Lepisosteus oculatus: one gene and its partner. The protein of the gene in region 1 purifies or fractionates together with the protein of each later gene. This does not show direct contact. Links are inferred from orthologs where the notes say so. Each region holds a gene or a part of one and is shown in the gene's direction. Other genes may lie near its edges. The genes, in order: phf6 and lyar.

Region 1 (16,501 bases):
ATCAGTTCTAACATTTCAGCCACGTTAAGCCCAAGCTCTGGGTCTCGGCCACTATTTATTCCTAGGAAGCCTGCTCCAGACACTCACGGCTCTTTGCGTTTTTAATTTCCAGCTGTGACTCTGTCCCGATTTCACCGCGGAGTCTGGCGTGCTCCCCTTCTTTACAGATCATTTATAATTTTCTATACTTGGATCACATCTCTGCTGTTCTAGGCCAGGAGTCTCAAGCTCACTTCCTGCTGTCTTCTGGGGTTTAGCTCCACCCATGTTCACACATTTGCATGGCTGGTCTAGTTATTTCATCGACAGCATAATAGCAATGCTTCCAGCCAGGCTCCGAGTGGATCTGTAGGTAACGGCCCATTTTAGACCTTAAGGAAAATCCTTTAGAATTTTAATTTAGTTACACAACTTATCTGTTTTTCTTACTACTTCAGATTGGAACAGAAGCCACACGATACAGGACCTGGGTTTGAGAACCCTATTAGAAAGGGTAGAAAGTCTCACTATGACAATCCCCTGAGACCAGAGAAGAGCAGGGGAATGTTGCCTGAACTCACATAATATTCAACATGAGGTAGACGGCATTGTACTTTCTTGCAATGTACTTTCATTGCATATACAGAGGAAGCAGCACACCTGCTCACTCTGGCCAGTTCTTCTTCAGATTCTGTTTGAGGGTCACGAGCAAGTAAACACCAGAGAACAACAAGACAGCTGGACAGACAATGAGCTAGGTAACAAGTAAAAAATGAACACAGAGGATATAAATTACTCTCAATCGGCTGATTGATACTTTGGGTTTTGAAACTGCTTGCAGACCACAGACTGCAGCAGTTTATAGTGTTATTCCCAACACACATCCCTTGGTGGAAGGGTATTGCACAGCCCTAAGCAGAAGCAGTAGTAACTTCTTCAATCAGTGAAGAAGTGAACGTGGCTGCTGTGCTTGACAAACCACGTCACCCTCAGCACAGAGCCACAACACATAATACTGCCTCCGGGCTGCAGCGCACAGCTGGAGACGTTACCAGTACCTCACCGCAGCGGGACTCGGACAGCCCGAGAGGGGTACAAGGAGTTTTCACATCAGGAGCCGGTCTGAACGTCCGCCCGGTCGAGGAACCCCCGAAAAACTTTCAGCGGAACTCAGGCCCCGCATCCGCAGGGATCCCCGACGACCTACGAGGACCCAAGGTCACACCAGAGCTACACATGGCGAAGCCGGGGCTAGGCCCAGACCGGCAGGGGTCTTGTTCTCGGCTCTAAAGACACACAGATCGCTCCCTGCAGGACAGCACACGGCAAAGCGCATACGTGGGAACTGCTGAAGGTCTTGGGAAGCGTCCCTGTGTCCCATGAAGGGCTCCGCGCGCCGCTTGGCATTCCTGTGTGAGCTGCGCTCCTAAGGAGGATGGGTGGGAATGAAGCCTCTTCCTGATAAGACAGAGTCAGTCAGTCTGCACCCCCCCCCCTCCTCCCACACTCTCGCTATCTGTGCGCCTCAAGGAGCTCAGCCTGCGGGAGCCCTTTTAACCCCTCGTTCAGGGACATCCCGAGTTCCAGCTGAGGCTGGAGAGAAGAGGGGTTTGCAGGAGTGCATCAGTAAAAAAAAAAAAACTAAAAAAAGTATGATAGCTCATGTTTGCCCATCACAATTCTGGAGCTTTTCCTCTTATGGGTTGTTTGCTATCGGAGGAGGGAGTATCCTCATTTTTTTTCGGCTTTTCCAGCCAATTTGAGGCTTTCTCCACGAATGGAGCAACGATGGGACTTTTTTTTTTCTTTTTTTTTTTACACATGGGGGCTTTTTTTTTTTTTTTTAAATGCTTATGGCAGAACTGTCCTGGAGGTCACACTGGGTTACAACACCAGAAGGGCTGCAAACCGGAGGAGGCCTGTCTGGTAAGATTATCAGAGGGGCTCACCCAGCTGTTTCCTGAGAGAAGCCAGGGTATCGGCTTCAACAACAGGGCTGGGCGGCTTGTTCCCCACCCCCACCTCCCTTTGTGTAACGACGTGACTCCTGTCCTGATTGGAGGATCTCACCCAGCTGTCGGCTTCAGTTTGTTCCACACCCCCACCTCCCTTTGAAACCACACAGGGAGCTCAGTAATCATGCATTCTAATGGCAACAGACACAAAGTTCACCTGGATCCCCCTGCGAGTTCGGATTTCACTAGGAGAGCCGGGGACACAGTGGCAGCACAGACAGAGAGGCCCACACGCGTCCTCTGGAGCTCCCTCCCTCCAACACCGAGCGCTGGGACTCTAAGGACATGTGGTTCTGAAGCGCTTGTGCCAAGCAGTGGTAAGGGAGGCAGAAACTGACGTCATTCACAGAATACAAGCAGAGTGCTTTAAGGGGGGAAAGAAAAAACTAGTCAAACAGCTTAAACCAAACAGAAAGCCCAAAGCTCAGCCAGAGAGCTGCCCTGAACCGTCTGACGTGAGAAAATGGGCACACCCTTGCCACTATAAAGGAAAGGATTATTGGAGCTCACCAGGATCGAAACATGTTTTTTATTTTAAAAAACTGCTGCTAACGACCTTTAACCTTAGGGGGATGAGTGGTGGCTCTGTGGCTCAGGATCTGCGCCTGTGACTGGAAGGTGGCCTGGAATCCTGTTCCTTTGGGCCCCCGAGCAAGGCCCTTAACCCCCACTGCTCCAGGGGCCCCGTATAAATGTCTGACCCTGCGCTCTGACCCCCAGCTTCTCTCTCCCTGTCTGTGTGTCTCATGGAGAGCAAGCTGGGGTCTGCAAAAAGACGAATTCCTAATGCAAAAAATTGTATATGGCCAATAAAGTGATCTTATCTTAAAAGACATACTTTAACCCAATAAAGCTTCGATTTCCCCCATGTCTCCCTGATGCGAGATACAGAAGGAAGGAACTGTAGAACAGTCAAGAGGCGAGAGGAGGCCTGGTTGCCAGATAGACAATCACTGATCCCAGAATCATCCAGCTGTTTCCTGAAACCAGCTGGGGGCATGCATTGGCTTCAACAAGGACTGGGCCACCTTGTTCCACACCCCCGCCACCCTTAGTGTAAAGAGGTGCCTCCTTTTCCTCAGCTCTAAACGAGGCAGCCTCCACGTGTGCCCTCTGGTTCGTGTTTCACCGTTCGTTGTGAAGATTGTGTTGACTGTGCCAGGGCCCTAACCGTTTTTGAACACTTGCCTCAGTCGTCAAGACTAAAAAAAGTTGAATTACGCCCCAGAATTCAACTGGTTGTTCTTCTCTGGACAGATTACAGAGCAGCAATATCTTTTTCTCTAACGTGTTTACAAGCCCTCCGATTCCAATAACTGGAATTGTGCCCTTTGACCTACTGTTATCTGACAAGGACTTGAATTCAGTTTGTCCATCATGCTGTCCGGTCAATGCAATATAATGAATCCGTTTTCAGCATCTTACACCGGTGTACATGTATGAGAAAGTAAACTCCAGAGAGGAAAAAAAACAAAACAACATTTTACAGGAATCTATCTGCGTGCGCCGTGAACAGACTGTTTTTCTATCCCAAGTGTAAATTTGGTATCTTTAAACGCTAGCTTTCCACCCATTAAGGACTGTCCACAGTTCGAGCAGATGGCAAGAGACAGGGGTCCATTAGGGAGAGACACCGAGGTCGTTTTTTAAAAAAAAAAAATCCGAGAGCTTGTGGTGGAAGCAGTGCCATCCCTTTAATGGAGCTGTCGCGGCAGACCCATCGATCGAAAAGAGCATTAGCGTTAACATCGCATTAAATAACGCGAGTGACCGCTTTAAAAACAAAAAAAAAACGATCGCTAGTCCAGCCTTCTGGCTCAGGCATGAAAGTAGGGGCGCCTTTTGAACTACTCCGATGGCACAATGACACAACAGGATAGCAGATAAAACGTTCGGCAAATATGTATAGATATATTTAGTCCACTGACCGGATCTGTCAATACCGTCGGTCAAAGCCAACCGCCAGCAGATATTACACCGCACTACAAACACGGTCTGAGAAGTTATGCTGAGGATGTTTCAACAGCTATGTAACATCTGCTTCTGAATAAATAAAAAAAAAGAAAGTGACGCAAGGTCGCCCCTCAAAAATGTGACTCGGCCGATATGCATCTATTTTTTTTCCAAGAAGAGTTACTGCGCAGCTCTGCAACGGGGCAGGGTTGCAGAAGCAGACGTGACGGGTTTCTGACAGCTCGGTTCGAACCACGGAATTATACCTCGTTTGGAGAAACACCGGCATGAGCAACATACCTTAGTGTCGGGGGGGGGGCGCTTGTGAGCTTCCGAAAAAAAAGCCCCCCCTTACATCTGTCCGTGTTAACACCTCGCTGTGTGTGTGTGTGCGTCTTACCGCCGCCGCTTGTGTGACAGTTTTCAGTTACCTAGACCAGCTCCCTCGTCTCCGCCTCCTGTCCCTACGCAGTTGAATGAGCTGGTATTTTTCCAAAGTAATATCCGGTGACACTCGATTGTCTTCACTTTAAAACAAATACTATCGATCACCTCGCATAAAGACGTAGCAATAATTCAGCTGAATGTAAAAGTACCAGAACATTCTGAGGAGACTCTTGTCTTTGTTGCTGTGACTTTGTTTTCTCCTACCCCCAAAAAAAAATCGAGAACAATTTTGTTATCAACACCGGAACAAACGTGACATTTAAATGAAGGATGCGAACTTTTACAGCCCAGCTGAGCCAGGGGATTTCACTGGGCCGCGTTTGGTTTCTCTACCGGTGGCTGCCCGCCGGAGAGCTAGTATTTCAAATAAATTAATGATCACCCCGGACACAGGCGAGCACCGCTTCCGACAGCCGGAAAATATTAAAACCCAAAAGACAACAGAACGATCTCGGGAGGAGGGAGACAAACAACTAGTTCTACTCACCGGACTGGCCTTTTACGGTTCCTTTAACCAACTGCAAAATGTGAAGTTTAAACTGAGAACGTCACTATTGTCTTCATCCGTAAACTGCTGCTGCTGCGTGCTCCTCGTCCGCGAGGCGTGGCGATCTCGCCCTCAGCCCGGGCGGCACTCCTCCTCGAGCTCGCTCGGGCTCTCACGCGCACACACCCTCCCCTCCTCCCTCAGTGGCTGGGCGGAAAGCGTGCGCGGGGCTGGCGAGCGCCCCGGGTCACGGACTGACACTGCTCTGGGCCAATCAGAGCCCGGCAGCCAGCGAGGGGGCGGGGCCTGCGCTCGTTCCGCGGGGGCACTGTCCTGCCTGCACGCAGTACGTTTTTACGCCCGGAACTACCGTGAATCCATTAACACTGCCTGGCAGAGAACATTTAAAAGAAAGGAAAAAGTCGGTGAAAGATACCGCATTTGTTTTGCACGCTTCAGCTGAAAATAAAGACTTTCCAAATACAGATTTTTGCAATAGACCAATCTACTGTATTTCAGGGTATAGGCATGACCTACACTACATTTCACTCAAAAGCTCATATAATCACAGTTTCCTTGAGCGTCACAAAGTGTTGTACACTTCCTCTTTTGTTCATTTAAACGTTTCTACGTAATTTTTTCAGTGGAAAAAAATGGTTACTAACAGATCAATGTATACACATTTTTCACTGTCCAAAACACATCCATTGTATTTCCTCAAGCTGATAATGTTAGAATGATCCTGCTTTGAATATCCTGGAACACCTCAGCACTGTGATAAGGCAGAAAAAGTATATCTATCTGGGTACAATATCTTGGATCTGTGGTACATAAACGAGTTTAACCAGTTTTTCAACCAGAACTCCCAACAGGATGTCCACATGATGGGCAGAGAGCAGTTTGCCACGAGCCCTGGATTACTGACTTTGATACTGTGAGACGACTGGCCGTTGGTTGTACATATTACCTGTTAATCAAAGTAATTTCGTCTTCCCCTCTCATAGATGAGCAATGTTTTCCACTGAGATGCACATGCTTTTTCAAAGGAAAACCAGATAACCCTCATGACGCATGTCCCCATCTTCCTAGCAGTGTGGTTAAAACACCACGTGGCCCACCTGGTTAGGTGATACCAAAACAGGTCACGCCAACAGATATAGACTTGTTGCACAGGATCTTTGCTTAAAAATGGTGTATGTGGCTGCAGACGAAGGCACCGAAACAATATGACCTGCTAATCCCTTCAGTGAAACGAACAGCATGAGACTTGAACCGTGTTGCCCTATTCTGGTGCTGCAGGACCCCTGCGCCTTTATTGATGGGTTTTATTGAGGCTGAGTTTTTTTTTTTCTTAATTAAGTTTACTGAACCTTTAGTTGGCACACTTTTAAAAACCACTGCCAGCTCAGGAACACTAACAGAAGGCTAGAATTCAGGACAGACCCTGTGCAGACAGTGGGTTTCTGAATCCAGCTCATTGTTTTGGGTTGGTAGCTGGCCACTGGGTCAGTACAGCACTACGAACGCCTAGAATCTGAGCATTTACCAGCGTTATTCTCACATCTTTACTTAGTAACCAATTTGGTTGTTCAGACGCTACGTGAAAGCAATCGTTCTAAGCCTAGCTGAAACAGAGACTGGTTTGTTAGATCCATCCTCCTATTTTCTAACTGCGAGGGAGCTGGAACCTATCCCAGCATGCAACAGGCAGGAAGCAGGGTACACCCTGGACAGGACACTGGCCCGTCACAGGACACACACACACCCTGGACAGGACACTGGCCCATCACAGGACACACACACACCCTGGACAGGACACTGGCCCATCACAGGACACACACACACCCTGGACAGGACACTGGCCCATCACAGGACACACACACACCCTGGACAGGACACTGGCCCGTCACAGGACACACACACACCCTGGACAGGACACTGGCCCGTCACAGGACACACACACACCCTGGACAGGACACTGGCCCGTCACAGGACACACACACACCCTGGACAGGACACTGGCCCGTCACTGCTATTGAGACCCGAGCAGAGGAAACAGTCCAAATGAAGCAACTGGCTCAGTTCATGGCTGAATTATTTTACCTAATTGAGTTAAACTGAGAGCTCAGCTAAAGCCATGACCAGAAAAAAACAGTGACCCCCAGTTATCAGCTCTTATATGTTCAGGTTTTTCCGAAAGCTGTTTTATTCCTAGGAGAGCAGTAGTAAAGATCCCAGATTAAATCCTTCAGCACTTGCGTTCTCTGATCTGCCCCTCGCTGTACTTCTGTAGCTACACTGACACCTACAGAGATAAATCGCAGTTCGTTTATCTTGATGTCCAAACCAGCGCTGAAGGCCTCTTCCTGGTGATAAGGCGATGTAGGGGGACCTGTTACTTTTAACCCAACACAGCGTAAAGAAACAGCATATTCTAGTCAGTAGCCCAATACTAGGCTCCCTACCAAATGTCTGTGACTTGCAAATGTGTCATAAAATATTAAGAACCGCTTGCCGGCATTTATATAGGAATATTCATCCCAAAGGATCCCAAGGCACTTGACACACGGTGCATCCCAGTACACAAGAGCAGTTCGGGCAGGAGAGTGAGATACTACTACGAACTGAATCAGGAAGAAACGCCCTTACCCCCATAAACAGCGCGCTGGAATCTATATATATTCTGTAGGGCAAAACCTTACATCCTTTGAAATCATTGCTTTTTAAAGAATACTGCAACAACTCTAATTGCCATCGTTGTTTTTGTATTTGCTATGATAATACAACCGTTTTAGACACCGCGGCGGTATTGATCATCACGAAGCCAAAGCCGAAGCCGCTTTCATGATATCAACGCCGAGATAGTTCGCGACAGCACGAGACCCTCAGTCACCTTCCCCCACCCCCCCCCCTTCTGGTTCGTCGGCGGGCGCGCGGGTGGACGCGAGCGTCCGGAGTCCGCCGCGTGCGTAAGGGGCGTGTCCGCGGCGAGCGCGCGTGTGTGTTTTTTTTTCCCAGAGCGCAACGTCATCCGAATGATGCGCAGTAGAAGCTGAGAATCCGCGAGCGAGCGCTACATCGCAATAGAGGGGGAAAAAAAAACAAAACAGGACGGACGCCTTTTTTTTTTTACCCACCCACCCCGCCCCCCCCTCTCCCCTCCCCACAAGCAGTGGAGCAACGTGACTGTGACACTGAGACGGTAGAAGGGTAAGATGTCTGTGTTGCGGCCTTTATCAGCCTCCCCGGCGGGGTAGTGTATCTGGGGCCGGCGGGGTAGGGCTGAAACGGGGGTGCCCTCCGTCCCGGGGTGCTGAACGCGAGGCGTGCCGCATGCTAACGCGCCCTCCCCGGCGGCGGACCTGCCCCCCGGACCGCCGGCGCCGCGGCGGCGGAATGAATGGAGATGCGCTAGATCCTGCTGTCGTGCTGCATATGCGCGCTCTTACGGCCTGTTCACTCTCCCGCCCCCCGCCGCCCCCCAGAAGAACTGAATTAACTGCAGCCGAGAGCGGAGGCCCTGCCCGGACTGAGGCCCTGCTGGGGGGGGGTGCGTGGAGACGGAGGGGGGGTGTTTTAAGTTGTCCTTCGCATTGAAGTAAGGGGTACGGGTCGAGGTTGGAGGGAGACGGAGCGGGCGGACGCGGCGGCGGGGGTCGCACCTGGACAGCTTCGAAACTCAAACTGGGAGAGGTCTTCACGAAACAAAACCAGCAACGACTTCGCACTCGGAACGTGTGGTTTTATTGACGCATGTGCCCGCCACCTCCCTCGTTACGGACCCGGCAGTTTTGAGCACGTTTTCCCAGCTGCACGGGGGGGGGGGGTGGGGGACAAGTTGAGGTTCGCGCGGAGTTGGTGAGGTTTGTGTCTCGTTACTTTGACAGCTCTGCTCGCGCGGCGCGCGGCGCGCGCGGGTTGCCCGTGGAGTGGGCAAGACGAATAAAATAAAATACTTAGTATCAGTGTTAAGATAAATAACACAGAAATAGTTTTGGGCGGTGGTGGGTTCGTGCTCATGCGTTGATCAGGTTTTGCAGTTATTATTTTTTCCTCAATCGGGTGCAGTTTATCGATTATCGCTCAGTTTTTTAAAATAAAAACATTGGTCGAGATGGGTTGCACCAATATGAATAAATTAACTGTAATATGCTCAGCTAAAATGTAACCATTACTGTATTTGTACAAGTGGAATAGTAAATATATTTCTCGAGTGAAACGTTTTAATATTTTGAGGTTTTGATTTTAGAATCGCCGGTGGTGCGCTCGGAGCTGGAGAGGCGCTTAACTGTTAAACGACCCGCTGTTTTAACCGGAGCCCAGAGGGCAGTGTCAGCCGCCGCAGTCCTGGGGGGGGAAGAGAGGCTCTTCGGCGAGCTGGGAGTGCGTGTGTTTGCCATTTAGCGTGTGTGCGCTGTGCCACGATACCTTCGTTTTCTGGGAGTAAAAATGTGCAGTTTTCCCTGTCACCCGGAGCTGGACTTCGGGACACCTGGAGTCTCGATGGCAGCGTGGGTCTGATGTGATTGGCGTTACTGGTTAAGACCAGGGGCGTGGAGCAGCCTTCTGCCCCAGGGGGGTCGTGTCCTTAAGAAATCCCACCTCATCGGGAGCCTCTGCTGTTTTAAAAACAGCGGAACCCCAGGGCTGGACTGTGTTGCAGGGTGATGTCATGAAGGGCCGAACTGTGAGACGCGCTGACTGTGTCTTGTTTGTCACGTTACCCGAGTTGGGATAAGTAGTCCCCCTTAGCTCCATGTCCCGCCCGGCGTTAAGAGGCAGAGGGGTCCCCGGTCCGGTGCCCCTGCGCTCACTCTGTGCCCGCGGCTGTCCTGCCCCCCCACAGGGCCGGGTCGGGAGCTGAGCGTGCTGTGGCCAGTGGACCATGTCCGGCTCGTCGGGGCAGAAGAAAGGGCCCGCGCGCCTGCGGAAATGTGCCTTCTGCAAGACCAACAAGGACAAGGAGTGCGGCCAGCTGCTGGTGGCCGACGGCCAGAAGGTGGCGGCGCATCACAAGTGCATGGTGAGGGACGGCCGTCCGGACCGCGCGCGCTTGAGGGGTTCGTCCTGGGGGGGGCGGGGGGGCAGTACAGGACCTGCAGGAGACTTCGGGAAGAGAACTCTTGAAAGCGCTGCTCACAGACCAGGCAGACACTTATAATAATAATAATAATAATTGCTTACACTTATATAGCGCTTTTCTGGACACTCCACTCAAAGCGCTTTACAGGTAATGGGGCTCCCCTCCACCACCACCAGTGTGCAGCCCCACCTGGATGATGCGATGGCAGCCATAGTGCGCCAGAACGCTCCCCACACACCAGCTCTCAGTGGGGCTCCTTATTATTATAAGTGTCTGCCTGGTCTGTGAGCAGTGCTCGGTGAGCTCGGTCAGGATTGCACCTCCTGTCCTCGCAGCCGATTTTGCCACAGGGAGACTTCAGATGATGTACACACGTCTGCTCTGAAACGGGTTCTACACCTCCACACACAAAAACCCCCTGATGGGGTCACGGGTTTTATCGGGGCTCTTTCTGGGCGAAGGCCACCCGTGTGCATTAAAAAAATATATTTTTTTTGGGCCGGCAGACGGGAGTGATCATGTTTTCTTGTGCGTTACGAAGGTGTCCAAGATGGGGGTCTCGGATGTGTTTAACAGGAAAAACGATATGCCGGTAACCTTGAGAGTCATCGCACGTCAGACTTGCAGGCACAGTCGTCCGATTCTCCTCTTTCAGGTGTCTTGAAAGTCCTGCCAGTAGAGATGTCTTTTCTACTCAAGGACTCTCGAGTCTTCGAGCTCTGAACCTGGGGTTATGTCTAGGCAGAATGGCGAAGTAGACCTCACTGACAGACCGCAGGATTGAGGCGGAGACTGGCCAGAGTCCGTCTCCTCGAGAGTGAGGGAGGTGTAAATCTTGTGTGCCACTGAAAGAAAATTGAATTCTGGCCACATTCAGGGTGTGTACTCTGCAAAGCTTAACTGTGTGCGAGTGGGGGGGGAAAAATGAGCTACTTTTCTGAATTTCGCCACACAGAGGACGGTTCGTGACTGAACTCTTGAGTCCTTGTAGCTGCGTGGTTATCGCATGCGTGTCCAGCGTCTCGCTCATCATCGTCATAACGGGAAAGCGCATCACGCCGGTGGTTTGGTGTATCTGTTTAAACCGGATGGAGCAGGAACCTTTCTCAGTGTGAAAAGGCCGCTTCCCGGCGTTTTCCTGGGAACGCAGCCCTCCTGCGCTCCTTTGCTGGGAGCGGCCGGCCCGGCCCGGCCCGGCCCGGTTCACTCCCCTCTCCCTGTCCCCCCTGTCCCGCCAGCTCTTCTCCTCGGCCCTGGTGTCGTCCCACTCGGACAGCGAGAACATCGGGGGCTTCTCCATCGAGGACGTGAAGAAGGAGATCAAGAGGGGGAACAAGCTGGTGAGTCTCTCGCCCCCCCCCCCCCCAAGGGTGCGGCGGCGGCGGCGGCGGCTTTCGGGGTGACCCACCCCCCCCCCCCGCCGCGGACTCCCGTGAGTCTGTGAGACGAGGACACAACCGTCTCATTCGTACATCCCCCCCGCAGAGAATCCCTTCAAAGTAGAGTCCCGTTCCTTCACGGGAAAACCCGATCCTCTGCAGACCCCCTCCCCCCGTTCCTCCCCCGCTGCGCCGAGTCCAGAGCGCGCTGGGATTCTGGGATTCTGGGATTGACGTGTCCGTCCCTTTCGCAGATGTGCTCTTCCTGCCACCGGCCCGGCGCCACCATCGGCTGCGACGTGAAGACGTGCCGCAGGACCTACCACTACTACTGCGCCCTGTGGGACAAGGCCCAGATCAAGGAGAACCCCTCCCAGGGCATCTACCTGTAAGGACGCAGCGGGCGGTGCGCTCCCGGCTGGGCCCGGCTGACCTCCTTCAGTCCTGGGCCCGGGACTACAGGAGAGTGCCGAGTATCCCACCTCAACGGGACCGGGAGTGTGTCGGATAATTGACGATGTGGGATAATGCGGGATAATGAGTAGACAAATCGTAGATGAATGGACATGCAGTATGCGTATGAAATCTGGTGGATTAATCCACTGTAATGCTAAAATAACGAGAGCACAGCACTATTGTTCGCGATTGTTTAAGAGAACGAGCGCTTGTTTCCCAGATGCGCTTCTCTTCCCTGCGCCGGGGTGTCGCCCGCGTCTCGGTAACATGACATCAGCAGCGGCCGCTTCGAAAATACAGGAGGCAAAATAATCATCACGAGCGCGAAGTCGGCAAACGCAGCTACGTCCACGTCAGTACGTGACCCAGCATCGGATTGGGCAAAATATGCACGCACGCGCGCGAGCAGTGTACAGTATATACACTGTATATACTTACATATATGTCGGATAAGCAAAGGTCGGATAATCGCGTCTCTACCGTAGTTAGAAATGATCAGCGAGAGCCCAAACGACTAAGGTCCTACAGCTCTTGTGGGCTGGAGTTAAGTTCTCCCGCCCTCTTGCCTCCTGTAGGCCATCCGGTTGCGCACGACGTCTTCTTCCGAACGTTTCGGCTCGTTTCTTTCTGGTTTCACGTCGTCTGCGCCCAGCAGAGGATGAGGAGCGTGCCGGCTGCTCACCTGTCTTTCTGATTCCTTCTCCTGGCAGGGTGTACTGCCGCAAGCACCGGGATGCTTCGCAAGACTCCAGCGAAGGTAGGAATGTCCATCGACGTCTTTCATTCAGTCCTTTCCTTGCCCCCCAATTTCTGTGTTTATTTTACTCGCAGCCTCGCAGTCTAGAGCACACTGCGTTGAGCGTAATCGCTTGAGGGGTCTCACGACTGTCTTTGTAAAAGCACAGTGTAGTTCTTGGGGTGACGTGATTAGTGGGGTGCCACAGGGACCTGTACAAGGGCCGCTGCTCTTCTGAATGTGTGTCAGGGGTCTGGGCTCTGGTACATTTACAAAGAGGATTAACCTGCACTCCAGGGGCACCAAATGAAATTCAAAAAGATTTAGATGCAATTCAAGACTGGGCAGAGGCGACACCTGGCAGGTGACCTTGAATGTAGAGAGGTGCAGGGTTTTTGCATGCAAGTATTGGAAAATACTTGGGAAAATGGGAAACGCTGATCTAAAAGAGGCAACTTATGATGTAAATGTGTCAACATAAACATCTTCCAAAGAATGTGGGGAAGCAATTAAAAAGGCAAACAAAGCATCTGGATACGTGGATAACAGTTTAGACGATTAAAGGGATGTTGTGTTAGAATTGAATGATACACTGTTAAGGCCTCTTTTTCAATACTGTTTAGAATTTTTTGCCACCACATTATTGAAACGATATTGCTCTCTGGAATCACTGCAGACTAGAGCAGCCATTTATATTCAGGGACTTCAAGAAACGTCCTGCACTGACAGTCTGGAGCAACTGAACTCTTTTAAGAAACAGATGTTTCTTTCTTTTAAGAAATGGATCCTGGGATCAATTAGCTACTAACTACCAAATGAGCCAGTTGGGCCAGATGGCCTCCTTTTGTGTGTAACGTTTCTCATGCTCTTGTCCTCTGACCTTTGCGTCCTCTCTTGTCTTGCAGATGAGCTAGAGGGTGTGGCCAACGACTCAGACTCCTCCCCTCCCCGGGGGAGGGGGCGGGGGCGGTTGGAGAAGGGGCGGGTCAAAGCCAGCTCACGGGGCCAATCGGAGGACACGCGCTCGACCTCCTCGCATGGCACGGACGACGTGGAGATCGCGTCGCATGTGAGACATCGGCGTTCCCTAACCGTGAACACCTAGCCGCGCAGAAATGGCTAACCTGGGTTATCCCCCCCACGCGTGAGTGAACGGCGCCCTTGTGTGGTTCTCTGTGTAATCTCTGGCTCTCTGTGTGAAGCGGGACCGGTCCCCTCTGCGAGGCAGCCCCAGCGACACCGGCCCGCGATGCGGCTTCTGCCACGCGGGGGAGGAGGAGAACGAGACCCGGGGCAAGCTGCACGCCTCCAACGCCAAGAAGGTCGCCGCCCATTACAAGTGCATGGTACGTCAGGAAGGAGCCGGGGGGGGCTGTTCGCCCTCTCGTGAGCCGGCGGGGTTGTGTGGAACTCTTCTCAGACCTGTGGGGCTGGAGCATTGCTTATTCTGTGTTCTAGACCTTGGGGGTGGGGGGGCATTGCTGCTCTGTTTTCTGGGGCTGCGTCCCCTGGAGCGCCGCGGTTCCGTGTTCCGGGAGCGCTGCGTCCCCTGGAGCGCCGCGGTTCCGTGTTCCGGCAGCGCTGCGTCCCCTGGAGCGCCGCGGTTCCGTGTTCCGGCAGCGCTGCGTCCCCTGGAGCGCCGCGGTTCCGTGTTCCGGCAGCGCTGCGTCCCCTGGAGCGCCGCGGTTCCGTGTTCCGGGAGCGCTGTGTCCCCTGGAGCGCCGCGGTTCCGTGTTCCGGCAGCGCTGTGTCCCCTGGAGCGTCGCGGTTCCGTGTTCCGGCAGCGCTGTGTCCCCTGGGGCGCCGCGGTTCCGTGTTCCGGCAGCGCTGTGTCCCCTGGAGCGCCGCGGTTCCGTGTTCCGGCAGCGCTGTGTCCCCTGGGGCGCCGCGGTTCCGTGTTCCGGCAGCGCTGTGTCCCCTGGGGCGCCGCGGTTCCGTGTTCTAGCACTGCAGGGAGTGTAAGATGAGTGACTTTTTAAAATGAAAACCACGACAAAAAGCCCTTCTGCTTTGCTGCCGTTGCCCTGAAGCTGGGGGGTGACGCGTGTCCTGGCCGGGCCGCCGGGGGGGGCGAGGCAGGGAAACAGCGGGTCTGAAGGCTCTCTTAACGTTCGCTTCCAGCTGTTCTCCTCCGGGACAGTGCAGCTCACCACCACCTCCCGGGCGGAGTTCGGCAACTTCGACATCAAGACCGTCATCCAGGAGATCAAGAGAGGGAAGAGGATGGTAAGGGCCGCTCGCTCGCTGGTCAGTCAGGCCCGAGCTCTGAGGAAATTCAGCGTGGAAATGAGATTCTTACCGTACGGCTAGCACTGCGCTGGGGCTGGCGGAGAGCGTGCATGTGTGTGTGGGCAGGATGAGGCTGAGAAACACTGAGGCAGACCAGTGGCTACCAGCCTCCTGGTCCTGGAGGGTTACTGGCTCTATATCGCAGAGTAATCAGTGCCACTCTTCTACCTGGGGCACAGCTGTGAATCTGTTCTGGGCTCTTGAAAGGTGGAAGGGGATTTGTCACAGGTGGCAACCCTGTGGCAGTTCCCGAGTCTCGGGACCTCTGCCCAGGGATGCATGTGTGTGTGTGTGATAACCTCCCTCCCGCCTGCTGCTGTTCGTCCGGCGGCTCAGTCAGTGGGGGCTGTGTAGTCTGAGGGGCAGGGTAAGGTTCTGGTACCTCTGTGCCCCAGTCTGTTACCCCGGGAGGGGGGGGTATTTCTGACGCTCGGAACTGACCGAAGATGCAAGTTAAGATCGAAGTCTGAACAAGCAGGCGGGACAGTGCTGTTCCATGTTCTAGGACTGCGTGGAGAGCTGAGCTGGAATGAAAACCAGCTGGGAACTGTTCCTCCAGTACCGGGGCTGGGAGACGCTGATCTCCCAGAGGCTCACTGCTCTCGGGCAGAGCAGAGCTTGCCTTCTCTCCCCGGAGCGGCTCAGTTCAGTGTGCCGGGGGGACTGTGCTTGTTCAAGAGAAACCGCGCTGAGTGCCCCCTTGCTCTTTGGCAGAAATGCACCCTGTGCGGCCAGCTGGGAGCCACCATTGGCTGCGAGATCAAGGCCTGCGTGAAGACTTACCACTACCACTGCGGCCTGAAGGACAAAGCCAAGTACATCGAAAACATGGCCAGGGGCATCTACAAGTGAGGGTCCGAGGTCGCGGGGGGGGAGGGGGGGCGCCGCCTTTTCCCTCTCGCTCCTTCAGGGGTTCAGACACGGTTTCTGCGTCGTGTTGGGGTGGGGCGGGGGAGGCGTGTCTGTCCCACAGGGGGCCAGGGAGGGTGACTGACCCTGCGGCTGTCGTGCCCCCCCCCCCCCCCCAGGCTGTACTGCAAGAACCACAGCGGTAACGAGGAGCGGGACGAGGAGGACGAGGAGCGCGAGAGCCGCAGTCGAGAGAAGGCCGGCATCGACCACGGCGGCACCCAAGCGCCCCCGCCACCACCGCCGCCGCAGCTCAACGGCAACTAGGTAGGGCGCTCTGCAGGCCCGGCCCGGCTCAGCCCCGCGGCCCCGTCTTGTGGTCCGGTCCAGCTGGGGCGCTTGTGCACTGGACCTCCAGAGCCAGGGGGTCTGGGGGTCACGGTGCAGCTCCAAAACACCCCACAGTGGAGCGGTCATCCACCGCAGGCCCAGCCGAGCCCTGTCCCCTCTCGGGCTGGTGTCGGTCGCCGCCTCACTGCTGCCACCTTGTGGAGTTGATAGTCAGGCACAGCTGGGCTTCCTCAGTCTGTCCTGCCGGGGGAGAGAGGTTTAGCTGCTCTGGAATCGGTCCAGGGAAGAGGGACCAGTTGCGTTCCCAGAATAATAATAGATTTCCTGGGCAAGTGAACTCGCTCTCTGCCTGTGAACAGCGCGAGGCCTGCTCCTGGTCTGTCCTGATGGTGTCCTTTTCCGTCCACAGATGGATGTGTTGCGAGACGGCGATCGAAGACAAAGAAATGTACATATTTTTGTATTAAGTTCCACTAG
Region 2 (16,476 bases), on another chromosome or scaffold:
TACAATTGCTAAGTGTATCAAAAGTGTATGTGGAATAGACTTAATACAGTAGATTTATAATTAATTTATAATTAAATACCATCTTTATAATTAAATGTAATCAATTGGCTTCACTAAAAAAAGGCACTTTTAAAGAAAAATGATTTTGTATTAAAGATAGTACTTCATCAAATGCTTATGATGCTTACTATGCCTTATGTGCAATGGTCAGTATCAAGCATCAACATCTTCCCATGAATAAGCTACTTTCAGTATTGTATAATGAAAGAAACAACAGATTTTACCTTTTTCCACAGATTTCACAGATATAGGGCTTTTCACCTGAGTGTCGCCGTAAGTGAGTCTGTAGATTACCTGCCTGGTTCATTCAGATACAAAAGTGGAACAGTGATCAAACTGAACTTCATTCAGATTTACTTTATTTAAAAATTCTAAGAAATTTCACCCCACACATTTTCCAGATGGTTTAAAAAGACAGTAGCTAATCAGAAAGCAAAAGGAATATTTATGTTCCCTCCTTTTTGCAATTTTGGTCAGCTTTTTCTTCAATTGCTATCCCCTTTCTCCATCTACTGTTCACTATTTTTGTAAGAGAACATATTAAACACTGTAGTTCAGGTGGGTAGCTGCGTCAGCATGCGTAGGCTGCAAAGGAACAAGTAATAGGTTTATTCCATGCTGAAAAAAAGAAGAAAGAGAACACAACGTTTCGGCCGTGGAGCCTTCTTCTTCTCAGTTGCCCATATTAGACACTGGGCAACTGAGAAATAAATATGGCCCTTCCAAGGAAATATTGACTATATAGTGCTCTACAATCAAGGGCGTATCACACTGAAAGTAGCTTACCTGTGAAAAGTTTTTCCCACAGATGTTGCACTGAAAAGGTTTCTCACCTGTTAATAGAAACAATACATCACCTAATTTTAACATTTCACCCATGAACTCTTACAGCACAGTTTAATTGATCACAATATTAAACACTGCTGTGGTGGAAAGTTCTGAAACGCTGCACAATGTGAAGCACACAGGGAGTTTGGTGCACTGGCAAGCCTGATGGGATATCTTACTGGGAATGGCTCTACTCATAAGCACACATTCTTGCCTTACTATTCGAAACATGCATGGTTGGTTGCAGACAAACTTCATAAAAATTATGCAATTTATCACTCATAGAACACAAGTGTTTTTTTAACCCCACAACCCAGCTTTAACCTTGTAGTTTAGACAAGAGAATTCAATGATTAAAAACATCAGGTTATCACAGACATCTCTCACTAATTTGGCTACACTGAAGTTTAAGACTTCCACAGTAACAAAATATTCCAGTGCAAGCTGTAGTTTAAGGACTGGTTAATCCATCCATTAATTAGCAAACAGAGTTTCCTGGTGATGGTTACAGTAATCGGAAGCCTATACCAGAAACCTTAATTAATTAAGAATTAATCTTAATCTTGTAATGTCAGTGTGGAGTCACACATAAAATCATCTGAAACTAGGCCTTTTGATTTGTGTGCCATGCCAACTACACTATACGGTAGTTTAAAGGATTGCTTAAAGAAGTTCAGTGTTATGAAGTAGGTTTAAGTCTACATTAAAGATAAAAAACTGATCCCATCGTAGTCTTCAAAGCTTTACAAAACCCCACATAAAACACCCTGAAGCATCATGTTTAATTCCTTACATTCAAATAAAGCAAGATTAAAAGGCTGACAATATTCCACAATACAGACTTTGACAAAGCCTTGGGCAAGAAAATGTTTTGATTTTAGAGTCAAATGAAAACTCCCTCCCCTCACTCAAAATGCTTATACTGAGCTTTTGAAACAGTAGACATTTTACTATGATACACTAGTGAGTGTAACATAATATTTTCTTCATAAATGTCATGCATGGATGGGTGCTTTGAAAATCCTTGAGTCCAATACAAAAAGCATGCATTTATTTTTCCATAAGTCTATGAGATTATGATATATATAAACTTCAAAGAGCATGATTCATTTAAACAGAAAATACCTAATTTTTTTGTGAAAATGTAGCATTCTATAACTTTGTGACATGAGGTAAAAGAATATCAAATTATGCTTAGCTTTCATATGAACTAAAATAAACAACCAAACAAAAAAACTGTTCTAGCAGCTACCATAAATATTTTTATCTCTAAGTTAACTGTCAAGCAGGAACAAAATATTTTCTGTAGATAAATAAGCTTCAGAATAACTTGAATGTATCAATAGCAGGGACAAGAGCTTCTGCAGCTTATGAAGTTCATATGATAACAATCAACATGAAAGCGCACAAACTCTTGATTTACAGTGTATTGAAAAGCACTTTTACACAAAACAAATGTAGTCATTATCATTAAATATACATGTACCTGTACATGTACAGCTACTACTAACTATTATAATCATAACATTATAAGATAACATTATAAGATGGTACCATTCATTTTTAACAAATCGCACACAGTATGTCAGGGTTAACAAAACTCTTTCCGAGTCACGATCTATTAGCACAGGTGCCCCTCAGGGCTGTGTGAGCTCTCCAGTTCTGTTCACACTTTATACAAACGATTGTACAAGCAGTAGTCAAAGCAACTTCATTTTCAAATTCTCAGATGATACAGCTGTTCTTGGCTTAATGCATAGAGGTAGCAGCTCATCTGTATACATGTCGGAAATCCAAAGATTTGTGCAATGGTGTGACACCAATAGCCTTGATTTGAATGCAAAAAAACAAAAAGAAATACTTTTCAATCCCAGAACAGTTGGTGATCACTCACAGGTGGTAATCCACAACGAACTTATCACTTAGGTTTATTCATATAAGTACCTAGGTGTACACATAGACTGTAGCCTGTGCTGGACTACTCATGTTGAGAGTGTTTGCTCCAAAGTTCAGCAGCGCTTATATTTCCTGCGAAGACTAAGAGTGTTTGGGGTTTGACAGGAAGTAATGCTACTCTTCTACCATGCTGTAATCAAGAGCATTATCATGTGTGGTATTTCAGTGTGGTTTGGTCATCTATCAGTTCATTTTAAATCGCAAATTACCCGCCTCATCCAGACAGCTTTGAAGGTCATGGGAGTGAAACAGCACCATTCCCAGCAGACAATCAGCAGAAAAATCCATAATCAAGCAGGCAGGAAAAAATTCTATCAGATCCTTCCCACATCCTCAACTCTGAAGATCCACTTATTCCTTCTAGCAAATGTTTTAGGGTTCCCAAATGTAAGTCAAGCAAATACAAACATTCCTTTGCTCCACTATCCATTAAAGCTGTCAATACAAATGTCAAGAGTGCAATATGTTTTGTGATGTGTTATAAATGTTACATGTTGTTATGTGTTATACTGTACATGTGCAATAGAATGATGTGCAATGTTTTTCTTTGTTATTTTTTTGTAATAGTATAATGTGTAATGTTTTTCTTCTCTTTTTTTGCATTCTATTTAAATGTACAGTAGTGCTGGGTGTCCATAAAAAAAATTCCCTCACTGGACAATAAAATCTTATCTTATTATAAAAATCAAGATGTGATTTGCTTGGACTTTTAGTAGTCTAATTTTTGACCATTGAACAGGTCAACATAGTTCAAACTTCTTTATATTTTATAGAAATTATGTAAAAAATGCACATAATATATATGTTCCTTTGAATCACAGATCATGTCTTTTGAATATTTTATGTTTTAAATAAGTCTGTATTAAATGTTTTGTGGTACTTTTTTTCCCAGTAATGGAAAAATAAAAACACTAATGCAAGTTCATCAAGATGAGTCATTTCTCATCCCCCCCCAGAAGCCTGGCATGCTAGAGTTTCCCTGCTGACATTCCAGAAATCTTTTCATCTTCTGAAAAGCACACATCACTGAAGAAATAAACACAAAGACCAAACACCAACCTCTACCCTTCGCACTGCAGCCTTTCTGCAATCACACAAAATACACAGCACACCTTTCTATTCCTGACAAGATAAAGGGTCCCTTTTCATTTACTCTTCTACTTTGAATGTACCAGATGACATTTTCCTCAGGTCTCACCCAGTCCAAATCCTAACACATTACAATGACACTAGCACCTTGCATTTAAAGAGGACATAACCAGATTTGGGGTGGTATGGTGGGGCAGTGGTTAGCATTGCTGCCTTGCAGCACTGGAGCCCTGGGTTCAATTCCTGAGGTGCTGTCTAGGTGGAGATAGTTGTGCGCATTACATTTGTATGGGGTTCCTCCCACAGTCCAAAGACATACTGGTTGGTTAACTGGCTTCTGGGAAAATTGGCCCTGAGCTGGTGTGAGTGTGTGCATGTTTGTGATTGTGTGTGCATTGCTTTGGACTGGCGACCTGTCCGGGATCTATCCTGCCTTGTGCCTCTTGCTTGCCAGGAAAGGCTCTGACTGCCACCCAGCCCTGTACTGGATAAAGCAATTAGAAAATGGATAGATGGATAACCAGATTTGTGCCCGATAAAGTCCTGCTGTTTCCAGTCTCAATGGAATCTCAATGGAAATTCACTTCCTTCTTGTCCCTTATAATTGAGCTTTTCTGTGCAGTTCACAAACAGAAATCACAATGAAACTCAGGGGCTATCAAGTTGGCTGACCCATTCAAACAACTGTCTTGTTTAAAAAGTACACTGTAAAGAAATGAAAATTTGGTAAACTTCTAAATAAAATCAATTCTGCCTTTCACTTCTTGCTTGCTGGGACAGCCTCCGGCTTCCCTGCAACCCTGTATTGGATAAAGTGAGTAGAAAATGGATGGATGGATAAATAAGATCATAGGATCACTTCACCCTGGCAATATCTGAACAAATCAGGCGGAAAAGATATCATCAACATCAACAAGAGGGAATACAGTGTGTTCCTGGGATGTAAAACAGCCAGCGCACCTCCCCTGCGAGCACCCAGTGGAATTATACTCCAAGTGCAAAGTGTTCCCCATTGTCCTATTTGTATTTGTATAACAACAGTTCACTTCTGCATGGAGCACTGTTCTCATGACACAGTTGTCAGAAAAGGCCAACTTTAAAAGCACCTTGCCTGTCGGCATGTGCAGTTCATAAAGTTTCTGTAAAAAACAACAACAACAGAGCACCATTTGACGCCCAATTACCTGTGTGTGACCTCTTATGGAGCTCCAGATTGCTGGGATGTTTGAATGTCTTTCCGCACATCTCACAACAATATTGCTTCTGGTAGTTTTGGAGGTGGGCAGCATCTGCCGTGCCAGCTGCCGGGTTGTGCTCAGGCTCGTCCAGCTGTGCGAGCGAGGCGCTTGGAAGCTGCAAACACGGCGCGGGGGCAGCTTTACTTTCCTTTTCTGCACTGTGGCTGTCAGCGGAATGGTCGTTAGCCCCCTTGCCCCTGGGCTCAGACTGATTTGTCTCTTTCGGGGCGCTGTCAGCTATCCCGTCCGCCTGTAAAACAGACTCCTCCAAAGCCTTCTGGGATCTCAGGTAGTCGTATTTCTTAAGGTACACTGCCTTTTTTGGTCGAACCTGCCTATTAATTGGAGAGCCCTCACCTGCAGAGCTCTGACTTGCATTGTGCTCCACTGCTGGAGACATGACAAAACTAGACCCCAAGGATCCTGCTGACTCAGACACACAATGTGCCGTGTTGACAGCTGACACAGGCATATCCACTGGAGGGTTTGTGTCTGTAACACTGGAAGAAAAGTGCTCCCCTACCACAGTACTATGAGGTGGATTTACAGCCCCATTCAGAGCTGCATTTTGTTTAAAATACTGTTTGCTGTAAAAGTTTCGCAGCTTATAACCATGACTCAACTGCTTATCTGGGATCACTGAAGCACCACTCAGTGGTTCAAAGGCCGGGGTTTGCAAATGTGTCTGTGGTCTTCTGGAAAGATCAATGTCTGTAGTGGCACACGCAGGTTTCTGAGCCTCAGAGGAGCCGTGCAACTCCATCTCAGGAGACAAACTGGCCCCAAGTATGCATTCAGTATCTGTTGCCAAAACACCTGGTAATGAGAATGAGGAACTACCAGGGAGGCTTCCCGATGCTTCTATGGCTGGAGTGTATGGTTTCAGGAAATTATTGCACATATTGAGCACATTTGGTATTTGGAGACACTGAGCCATTTCTAACATTCCCTGAACATTGTCCTGGTTCAGATCAAGATGGGACGTATACATGAAATCCAGAATTTGCCCAATTCCTCCTACATCTTTAATGTCAAGATGAAAAACATCAGTTTTCTGACCGGGTGAGTTTTGAAATAAGGACCTGGAGAAAAAAACAACAACAACAACAACAAAAAATGTATTCATAAAGTTGGAATATTACTTACTGTAGCTTTTTTTAAAACCCAGGATTTAGAGTTTTTTAAACATTTCATTCCAATTTAACAATGAAATTACCAACATATGCATAATACAAAGTGCTCAGCCATATATATTCAGCATTACTGAATGTTTTAGCGCTAGTAAACTTACCTAAAATATGAACTGAAGGCAGCCAAGACATTTTTGTGGGCCTTAAAACAGACTCCCTTGACAACCAGCATGCAGTCACACAGAAAGCCCTGGATACGCTGCTCTTGGAGCTGCTGAAGTAGGTAAGAGCTGTGACTGGACAGAGACTCCATGCTCAACCTTCATTCCATAGCTCACCCGTAGAACCAGGACCATTCTCATCAGGTTTCACATACATGACTAGGCTGTTGAGCAAAAAAACAAAGTATGAGTGCACATACCCTGCAAGTTACAATTATAAGGACAACTGTAGTAGAAGGAATAACAGTTCCTCTCATTTATATACAGATTTTCATCCCATACGAAACTAAAACACTTAACATACAAAAGGGGAACTACTTCATTCACCTCACCTGGGTGACGAGACCGCCATTTAAATCTTAAGGAAACTATAAAAAAAGCAATTCTTTTAACACAGAAGCTTCTGAATGAGTTAGAGGGAGCGTGTAGCCCGAGCTACAGTGGCCAAGTACGATATGAATCGAACGACTGTGTAGTATGCACCAGGGTGCAATGTGAGGGACATTGAAAGAAAAGGCACCGTTTCATCTTAATGGAGAGCACAAAATGTGAAATATCAGAAATCAAGTACAGCTTCAAGATTTCAGCTGCAGCGAAATGGTTTTGCGTCTGTGACTCTTCATCTGAAAGTGTCACAGCAGTTTTGGTTAATTTCACCGCACGTGTTCGGCCACTAAACAACACAACACACAGCCACACTTGACCCAAGTGGCTGCTTTCTTTCTGCCTGCAGAAAAACCACGCAAGCTACGGCGCCTTTATCTCATTTCAGTATCCCCAGATATAAAAACTGAAGAGACCTGCCAAGACAAAAATAGGCCCAGCATAGAACAACAGGCAAATAAATTAGTGCTCAAATATATAAAACAGACAATAAAACACGTATATATCAGGTTCTGTAGCACACTTACAGAACCTCAGAACAGGTTACATATTAAACAAAGCACAGTTTAATTCAGTGATATGTTTTAAAAAAATACCTTCTTTCCCGTTTTGTTTGGATGATCAGTCACCACGTCCTCTTGAACCTTTACCTCACTTCCGCAACAAACTGTGATCGAAATCGCCACCTAGCGGTTAGAGATAAAATAATGATGTGGGGATAAAAAGGTGTGTTGATTTTTGTTTTTTATTTTGGTTAGATACTATTGATTTAAGGGAGTGGTCCAAAGTAAATTATGCACTTTCAAAATAGTAAAGGCACTCCCTTTAGTGGCTTTAAAACCTATCACGAATACGGATTTTTCACTGTTCTGTGCCCGAGCTAAGTCTGTTGTTACGGTTCCCTTCTGATTTTTTTAAGTTTAAACTGTTAATAACACCAAGCCCTCATTTTCTAGTATAATGAATATAAGCAATTAACACAGTTTTGCGGGTCATGTGAACTCAGGAGGACACAATTTTTCCAGTTCCACTCTACACGAATCCTGAATGGCAAGTCTGGAATCCTCTTCCTGGAAATCTCATTTAGGAACAAAAGTGTTTTGCCACTGAGCAACTTTCTGTTTAATATATTTCCGGAAAACGTATATTATCAAAGGGATTTAGGTTTTGCCCGCGATAATTATTCAGTATATACAATATGACAATAACCCATTATCGTTTTTAGTCTTTTTTTAACTTTGTTGAAAGTTTATTTTGTACATTCTTATTGCCACTTGAACGTATTACACTAATATTGTGTCAATACTATAAGACTAAGTAAAAATTTCGATTTATTCTTCGACCGATATCAACAAGATTATATTCAAAACTAATCCAGAGCACTTTTGGGAACATCAATTTGGGTGCGGTGTTCCCACGGAATGTAAATAGTGTAACACTGCTTATCCGGAACACGTGAAGTTGCTCTAGGTATGTTCAAGTGATCTGTAAATTCGGACGTTTAAAACAGTAAATGATTATGTAGTTTTAATTTCGTATACATGTACACGAACGGTTTAATTAAAGTAAAAATATCAACATTGCAGTACTGTGTTTTCACTAGGAAATCTTTAATACAGAGAATTTAAAATTTTAAGATTTTTCATTTACCCTAGTCGCTGTCACGTGTTTTTTTTTATGGTTCCAGGGTCGCAAAGATCTGATTGGGGAATATTATTTTTGTGTTCCAAATTCGAAGTATTTCAGGATGGTTTTCTTCACCTGCAATGCATGTGGAGAATCATTAAAGAGGGCACAAGTAGATAAACACCTGAATATTTGTCGGCACTGTCAGTGTTTGTCGTGTATTGACTGTGGTAAGGATTTCTGGTGAGTATCTTTTAAGGTCCAAAATATGTTACTTTAAGGTCTTTTAAGGTCCAAAATATGTTACTTCCCAGATTCGTTTTTTTCTTTTTCTGCTGGAAGGGTGGAATTAATGTAGTTTGCAGTGTGTGCGTGCGGAACGTTGCCTTCGTTAAGGATCACTCATTGAAAGCCACTAAATAACAAATCGAAGTTAATTTTTATTTTATAATCCGCATAAAATAGGTTTACTATTATTGTATTTCATCCTAGTTAATTGAGAACGAAAAAAAATAATACCGCTTACTATCAAGAGGAAGCCGTTTGGTTCCTAACGGTTAAGTGATCTAGGGATCTCATCCACATGTTTCTTGAAAAAATCCAGGTTTGTTCCTACTCGTTGTTGAAAGAAGTGACTCCTGTTCTCAGTTTTAAATGAACTTCTGCATACTTTTCACTTGTTACCTTTGGTTTATGGTTAAATGTTTTCAAATTACTTTGTTAACGCCTTAGAGAATTTCCAATATCAGAACCAAGTTTCCCTTTTTCTATATTTTATCCAAGACTAAAAAGAAACAGCTGTTCTTTTGGCAGTACATTCATTCACTTAAAAGAATCAGACTCCTCTTTGAAATGAGCAGTAATATTAATTTTTCTATTCTGGTAAACAAAATTGTATGTGATATGCTGAATGTCTTACTAGTGCATTGTACAATTTTAATATAAAACCCCTTGAATTCATTTAATTTTAATAAGATGATTTTAGTTATGTAACCTAGCATTGTTTGTTTTTTTACTGTTTCCCTACTTTGGTTTGATGAGTCTTGTATACACAAAAGTCATACAAGACTCTATCCCGTTTAAGTCTGTATTAATATTTCTACCTTAAAAATATTTGAAATATTAACAGTATCCTTGTAGGAAATGATAATCTTCAACACATTTAATGGATTATAATGCATTTGTTGTTGTTTTTTTGCTACAGGGGAGAAGACTATAAAACGCACCTTAAATGCATCAGTGAAGATCAGAAATACGGAGGCAAAAGCTATGAAGCCAAGAGTAACAAGGGAGATGTGAAACAGCAGCAGTGGATTCAGGTAGATCAGTGTTGTCACTTCTTCAGGACTACATCAGACTTCTCGATATTTGTTCATAGGGCATGAAAGTCTGCTGCAACCTAATTTTATCATCATGATAGATCTGATGTATATTGAAAATGCAGCTTGAAAATTTTGTACTATCATAGATAAATGTTTTATAAAACTGTAAATCACGTCTGTTTTTATATTTCAAATTAAGTATTTTTTGTCACTAGGCGGGTGAGAAAAAGAATCATTGATGTCTTTTATTATAGAATAAAACACTAAACTAAGTGTTTTGTTTTAGAAAACAGAGCAGTATAAAATCTATGTGCTCTGTAATTTAGTATTCTGTTTTTAATTGTAAACCTAAAACCCGTCTTCTTACTGTCGTCTATGTCTGAGTGTATTATGAATTGTTTTGTGTGTTCTTGTTTGTATTTTTATCATTATGTACAGCATCCTTGGGTTTGGACTGAATCTGAATAGTTGTAAACAAATGTCATTATCATTCAGGTTATGTGAAATTAAAAAGTTTTAGCATTTTGACATTTTTAACTGGATATTGTTTTCCCTGAAAGTTTAATCATGTAAAATATTTATGTGTTGGGATGCAACTGTCCTGCACTTTTGTTTTATTTTTTTAAGGTTGAGTGGGCAATTATTTTTATTAATAAAAAAACAAGTTGAATTGCACTGACCCCTGTATCCACATGGACAAAAAATAGGCCCCCTGTCTTGCTATTCAACTTTTGACACATTACAACGACATTGAGTACTGATTGACAGTAATATATACACATCTCTGCCATCACCCCAGACCTGCCAGCATCCAGGAAATCACTGTGGTTGCTTTTTTACTGGGAGCTAAGAGAGTTCTGGCTGAGCAGTCTAAACCCTCTATTGCCACCATGTGGTCAATCCTGGTCAGCATTAAGCAATTGGCTCAAGCACAGCCTGTGGTTGGAATGAGCACTATTACCTTGTTGAGCCACTCAAGGGGCCCATTCAGCACATTTCCCAACTGTCTTTGAGCAATTATTTGCTAAACTTGGAAAAAATGATTTCAGATAATTTCAGCATGTGAATTTAGGGAAAATGGAAAGTGCTTTTGGAACTCAAGGGTAAGTGTTCAAAGCCTCTTTTGTAATGTTAGTAATGTTTCTCATGATTTACTTTTCATATCGTTCAGGCTCCTGAATGTTTTGTTGTTCACAATTCTTACACGGTTATCGTAAATATTCTCACGAGAAATAACTGCCTGTAATATTTATGAGAATAATCTGTTGTAGAAAATCCATGAAGCAGTGAATAAACCAGGAATCAGTCCAAAATTACGTGAGGTGCTGTCCCAAGTGAGCTCCTACGACAATGTTCCAAGAAAAAAAGGAAAGTTTCAGGTAAGTGAACTGGTTTGCTTGTCTGTTATTCCAAATGTGATATAATGATATTATGTGATATTATGCTGTTCTTTAACAGGCATTAGTTTCCACTAGCACTTTACAAAGTAAAACACTCAAAGGTAAGATTCTGTGTCTTTATTATGAGAAGTAAAGTATAGATATATGCATTTTGGATATTGATAATGTTTTGGCATCATTTAGATTGACTGTGATGCATGTAAATGAATTTTGACTATTGCATGAACACTACATCCTACAAAAGAAGAAGAAACAGCAAAATGTCACTTAATAAGAAAGTGATTCTTATTATTCCATTGAGTTGTTTTAAGTTAGACGGCAAGTGGAACGATGTTAACGTGCTAATTGTTGTGAATTTGAGACCAGTCAGTGGAGGGTTTCAAGTATGATGGAGTCTGGGTAGGAGTGTATAGTCACCACAGAGCTCCAATTGTACTGATTGATGACAGCCTCATTGTATAGTGCTGTGTTTATTATGTACTGGGATTTCTCTTGCTGGCCTTTTTCTTGGCTCATCCCAGTGTGTTTTTTTGTGTTATACCGCATGCCCTCAGGCTGCACAAAAAGCAACAGCTTTGCTGTGCGGTGAGAATCTTAACAGTTATGCCATAGACGTACTACTTGCCAGGCCTTAGCCAAAATGAGCGTTGGATGAGCTGGATTGACGTATGACATCTAGATCTTGGAGACCAGTAAACAGGCCCAAGTTTCCCATGCTTTACGGAAGGACTTAATGAGAATCCTAAAGGACTGCACCTGCAACCAGGAGGGGGGGGAGGCATATATCACAGATAAAATGCCTATTCACCCACTACCTGGGTTACCTACGGGTTTGGTTCCTCAAATCTTTATGTAGCCCGAGTCTTGCATAAGTCGGAAGCAACACTTTCCTGGCAATTGGGTGAACAATAAAGAATTACCAGCGATCCTTCCTTATTTTCCCTAGCTGTGTTGGCAAGTGAGGAAGGAGGTACAGGAGAGCAGAGCTGCAAACTCACCAGGGTTTATTGTCCTGTAATGGTTAACAGGTGTGTGCGTGCTGATCATGGAGGGGGTAGAGAGCAAGAGAGAGAGTAGCAGCAGCTGGCAGTCCATGATTAAGAGAGAAAGAAAGGATACTTTCCCCCTTTATCCAGGGGGAAACAGTTTGGTGCAGTTGCTATAAATCATTTTGTAATTGTCCTAATAACTTTATGAATTTGTTGTACTTATGACTTGCAAGTTTATTTTGATATCTGGTATGCATCGGAGCTGGAATTTTGGGCAGAAATGTAGCTAAAGATGGCTGCCTGCATCTCCACTGCATTTGCTCAGCTACAGTTGATGCACTGCCTTTAAAGTCAAGTGGGTTTCTAAAAGCCTTCGCTGTTATGCATAGCTATTGTCACCAGGTTTTTGTTTTTAATAGAGGTGCTTACTTGTCATGGGACAGTTGAATTCTAAATTCATATGATGTTTCGGGTTTAGGAACAGAAAGAATTAGCCTAAGAAGAAATTTTTAATTGCTGAAAGCTCCTTAACATGTGGTTTGGTTGTAACTCAAAATCTCTTTTAAAGACGTGAGCTCTGATGGTGTCTTTAAGTCCATGTTGAGCTCCACGAACACAAGTTTGAACCTGAAATATGTCATTAACTGATTTTATCTGGATCTCCCATGCAGCAGTGTGCAATCAACTGAGCACTGCCAATTGTAAAATGGGATTAGTTGTCCAGGGTTTTCTAGATCTCAGTTTTGGTAAATGGGTACCTGGAATTATGCAGTACCCATTGCTGCTGGTGAGTGATGTCTTTTTAGTCACCTCCTACTCAGGGCTGCTGTGTTTGTGTCACATGATTAATATTGTAGAAACCAAGAGATTTGAGCCTGAGGTGTCCGTTCTCCAAGCTTTATTGTATGCATACAAGGAACAACAATGAGGATTATTGTTGTTGTTCAAAGGGGATATGGCTCTCCACAGCTTATATATACCCACCTATTCCTTTCTTTGAGGTACTTTCTCAAGGAACTCAAGGTCTGGGAGAGCAATTAAAATATTCCTTCCTTATTAAGGAGTTTTTTACAGAGGATGGGGGTTTAGTACAGAGGGGGAGAAGCATCTGTGCTCAAGCAAGCATGAAGGTTAGAGTTTAGCATGTGAATTCAGCAGGAGTTCACAGCTCCTACCACTATATTGGTACAGGGTAACATACAGATTCTCCTAGCAGACTCCATCAATATCACCGAGGCAGTTGGGACAGTTCCTTATAAGTGAATGATGAAAACAAGGAAACCTCTCCCAGCATTATTTGGAAACTTAGAAATTACTGGATAGGCAAAGCTTTTTAAGGGTAAAAAGAATGCTTTTACTTTAAACTGGGTTTAAAAAAAGTTTTGTAACTTAATAGAAATAATAGAAATTATCAGTAACCATGAGATAAACCATAATCATAATGCTTGTATTCGTGAGAATGGTGAAAGATAATTTTGCTGCTCTAGCTAAACATGGCTTGTGATGAACATTAATTTATTTTACATTTTTTGTAGTCTTTGTGCATGATTTTCAAAGCTTTTTAATCGCTTTCAGATTTTAAACAGTGCTCACTAAAATCTCTTTAATGATGGTTTTGTCTATACATTTAAGGAGTGTTTGAAATTTCTTATTATCCTTAAACAAATGTCTTATTTATTTCCTTTGGCGTCATACTGTTGCAATTGCCATCTGCAATTCAAGACCTTGCATCTACACCCTGTGTAAGGATACTTCTCTCTGGTTCAGCTGGAACTCATTTTCGCGTTTGATACATTAAACTGTACTGTTGCCAACCTGATGAGGTTCAGATGTACCCCAGCATCACTGGAAATGCCCTCAACTCAGATTGTTGAGTTGACATGCCCCTCAAAGTGGTCTAACGAAAACAGGACATCAGATGTAAAATTATGAAGTAATGTAATCTCAGTACTTGACCTTTGAATTAAAAGTGTAGTGTTGGCATCTTTTGATATGCATCTTACTATTGTAAATGTGTTTCTTTTTTATTCATAGGCTTTTACTTTATTTTCATTTTAGGAATGAAGCAGTGGAATAGTGTCTGTTGATTTTTGCATTTTATAGAAGTTACATTTTAAAGGAGTAGTTCATGTTTGTGTTATTTTTCACTTTTTTTTTTTAAAGCGCTTTCCCTGTAACAATAGCTTGTGATAATTGAAGATAATTAGGCCAAAGTGGGCAGAGGAGCAGTATTAATAACACTCGGTCTTCAGTAGGTGAGTCATTATGTGTATGTGCAGTAATACTATAGGTATACCTCACTATACCTCATGAGAGTTCCTCTAATTCAGCTCTTTCTAAGCTATTTGTACTGAGATGATTGGATAATCTCAGTAAATACAAAATTGCAAGAAATGTGGACATGGGATTCAGCTCTGTATCTGCAGCACTTTTGTCTTCTAGGTCACTTCTAGGTTTGAACAGATGTATCCTTTCTCTTCATTTCTTAATTTTAAGGATGTTTACAAAATGGTGCCCGTGGCAAAATATCCTCACTTCATTTTGTCATGCTGTATACATACTTTTATTCTTATTCTCTTATTGCTCTTATTTTAGAGTTGGGACTGAACTGACTACGCTTATTCCAAAAGAACAGAATAACATCTTTGTACAATTTCAATCGCCATATTACACAAAAAGATATTGTTGTTCTGTAATCAGTCCCGAGAGGAGCCACAGGCAACATTCCAGGGTTTAAAACAATGTCCTGTGAAGGCAGTCTTAAATAACTGAATCTTTTTAGTCTTGAATGGAGAAGTAACCTTATAAGGTAGATTAACAGATTAGCATCCTCTCTTTTGTAAAATTTCTTTTATTGATTATACCTGTTACATACTGGACAAGACGGGATTCTTTACAATTAAATAATTGATTGAGCAACAGAATTATTCCCACAGTGTCACTTGTTTTCAGTAATATGCTGCTAAATAGAATGTTTTGAGGGGAAATAGTACATAGGAAACATAAGATACATTTTAACTTACTTTGTTACAATGTTTGTGTTTTATTAAGAGTAAGCTTTCTATTGACTTTGCAAAATTGATGCAATTCTACCTTGATCATTCATACCTTTTTATGAATCAAAAGATGACTCTTTAGATTTATATAAGCAGGTAAATCTTTAGATTTATATAAGCTACTCAGATACAGATTTTTCAGAAATTTACAGTGGTCAATGTTTTTTGTTTTGCTTTGCATTAAAATTTAGGCTTAACAGGCCTAACAGAGTCAGTTTATGTTGTGAATTGTGTTCCCATGTGTAAATTTCACTCCAAGCTTGTTTTAAATTGAGAGTTAAGTTGAGCATCTGACGTGATTCATTCAACAGTTGAGCACAACAGTAATGGAGATATATGTGGCAGCTTTCCTTTTGCCTCTCTCTCTACAGTACATTGTCACCCAGCCATTAAAATATTACAATAAGGGCCTTTAACTTTCTTAGACTCAGTGACAACGACCACCCTTGTTGCTGGCTTAATGCCAAGAAGTCTTCACTTCTTGTGTGTTGATTAGAATCTGGTTGGCTGTTTTTCAAGTAATAATGAAATTGCAGGAAACCGAGCTTTAAGTAGTCAGCACTTTGTAATTTGACATGTTTTGCATACCTGTGGAGTCTTTTTAAAATATTTCTCGGGGACAAGTTTATTTTGTTGGATTAAACTGATGTAATCTGTGTTCCTCAAAATATACAGCATGAAGCTTCAACGCAGTGTTGGCAGTGGTAGTGTAAACTGTCTGTCCTTAATTGTGCAAACCTTCTCTTTTTTTAAGTATAACAGTTAAAAACTTGAAATAGTAAGAATTAAGATAATTAAATGTTAGCAAATGTTTGCAACCAAGTATAGTAGGGCTTTTGTTGTTTGACCTGACAGGAAAATTACTAAGATTTGTTTAATTTAAAATGTGTGTTTTATGGCCTTTATACTTTTTTTTTCTTTTTGGACTTTTTTGAAGAACTGGATGAAGAACAGTTTAAGGATCTCTAACACAACATTGTATGACCAAGTGTGGGAAATCTTTTCTGCAGCAACAAGCAATGTAAGTCTAAAAGGCAATGGTAGTGCTGTTAACGTTTTGTACTTTATTATTTTTATTTGACATTTCATATGTGATGATTATTTTTGTGTTGGAATAAGTGCAAATAATGATAGCATTTTATTATTCTCCACTGTGTTTTGTATGCACGGAATTTCA

The links.
Region 2: the proteins of phf6 (region 1) and lyar purify together in Homo sapiens (affinity purification with mass spectrometry; 3 studies listed by BioGRID and IntAct, with this or other methods). This does not show direct contact. The link is inferred for Lepisosteus oculatus from reciprocal best matches to the Homo sapiens genes PHF6 and LYAR.

The regions. Positions count from the first base shown.
Region 1 is NC_090703.1:48,795,749-48,812,249, forward strand, and holds the start of phf6 (PHD finger protein 6), read left to right. Parts: upstream 1-7,902; 5' UTR 7,903-8,091; intron 8,092-8,101; exon of another isoform or gene 8,102-8,744; intron 8,745-9,727; 5' UTR 9,728-9,766; coding exon 9,767-9,904; intron 9,905-11,202; coding exon 11,203-11,304; intron 11,305-11,597; coding exon 11,598-11,731; intron 11,732-12,509; coding exon 12,510-12,556; intron 12,557-13,440; coding exon 13,441-13,604; intron 13,605-13,737; coding exon 13,738-13,881; intron 13,882-14,656; coding exon 14,657-14,761; intron 14,762-15,538; coding exon 15,539-15,672; intron 15,673-15,852; coding exon 15,853-16,000; intron 16,001-16,433; exon of another isoform or gene 16,434-16,501.
Region 2 is NC_090696.1:43,712,462-43,728,937, forward strand, and holds the start of lyar (cell growth-regulating nucleolar protein), read left to right. Parts: upstream 1-8,283; 5' UTR 8,284-8,376; intron 8,377-8,593; 5' UTR 8,594-8,653; coding exon 8,654-8,775; intron 8,776-9,736; coding exon 9,737-9,851; intron 9,852-11,125; coding exon 11,126-11,233; intron 11,234-16,236; coding exon 16,237-16,320; intron 16,321-16,476. Other genes in the region: zbtb49 (zinc finger and BTB domain-containing protein 49), read right to left, coding at 285-358, 847-893, 5,118-6,253, 6,463-6,614. UniProt on the Homo sapiens protein: Plays a role in the maintenance of the appropriate processing of 47S/45S pre-rRNA to 32S/30S pre-rRNAs and their subsequent processing to produce 18S and 28S rRNAs. Also acts at the level of transcription regulation.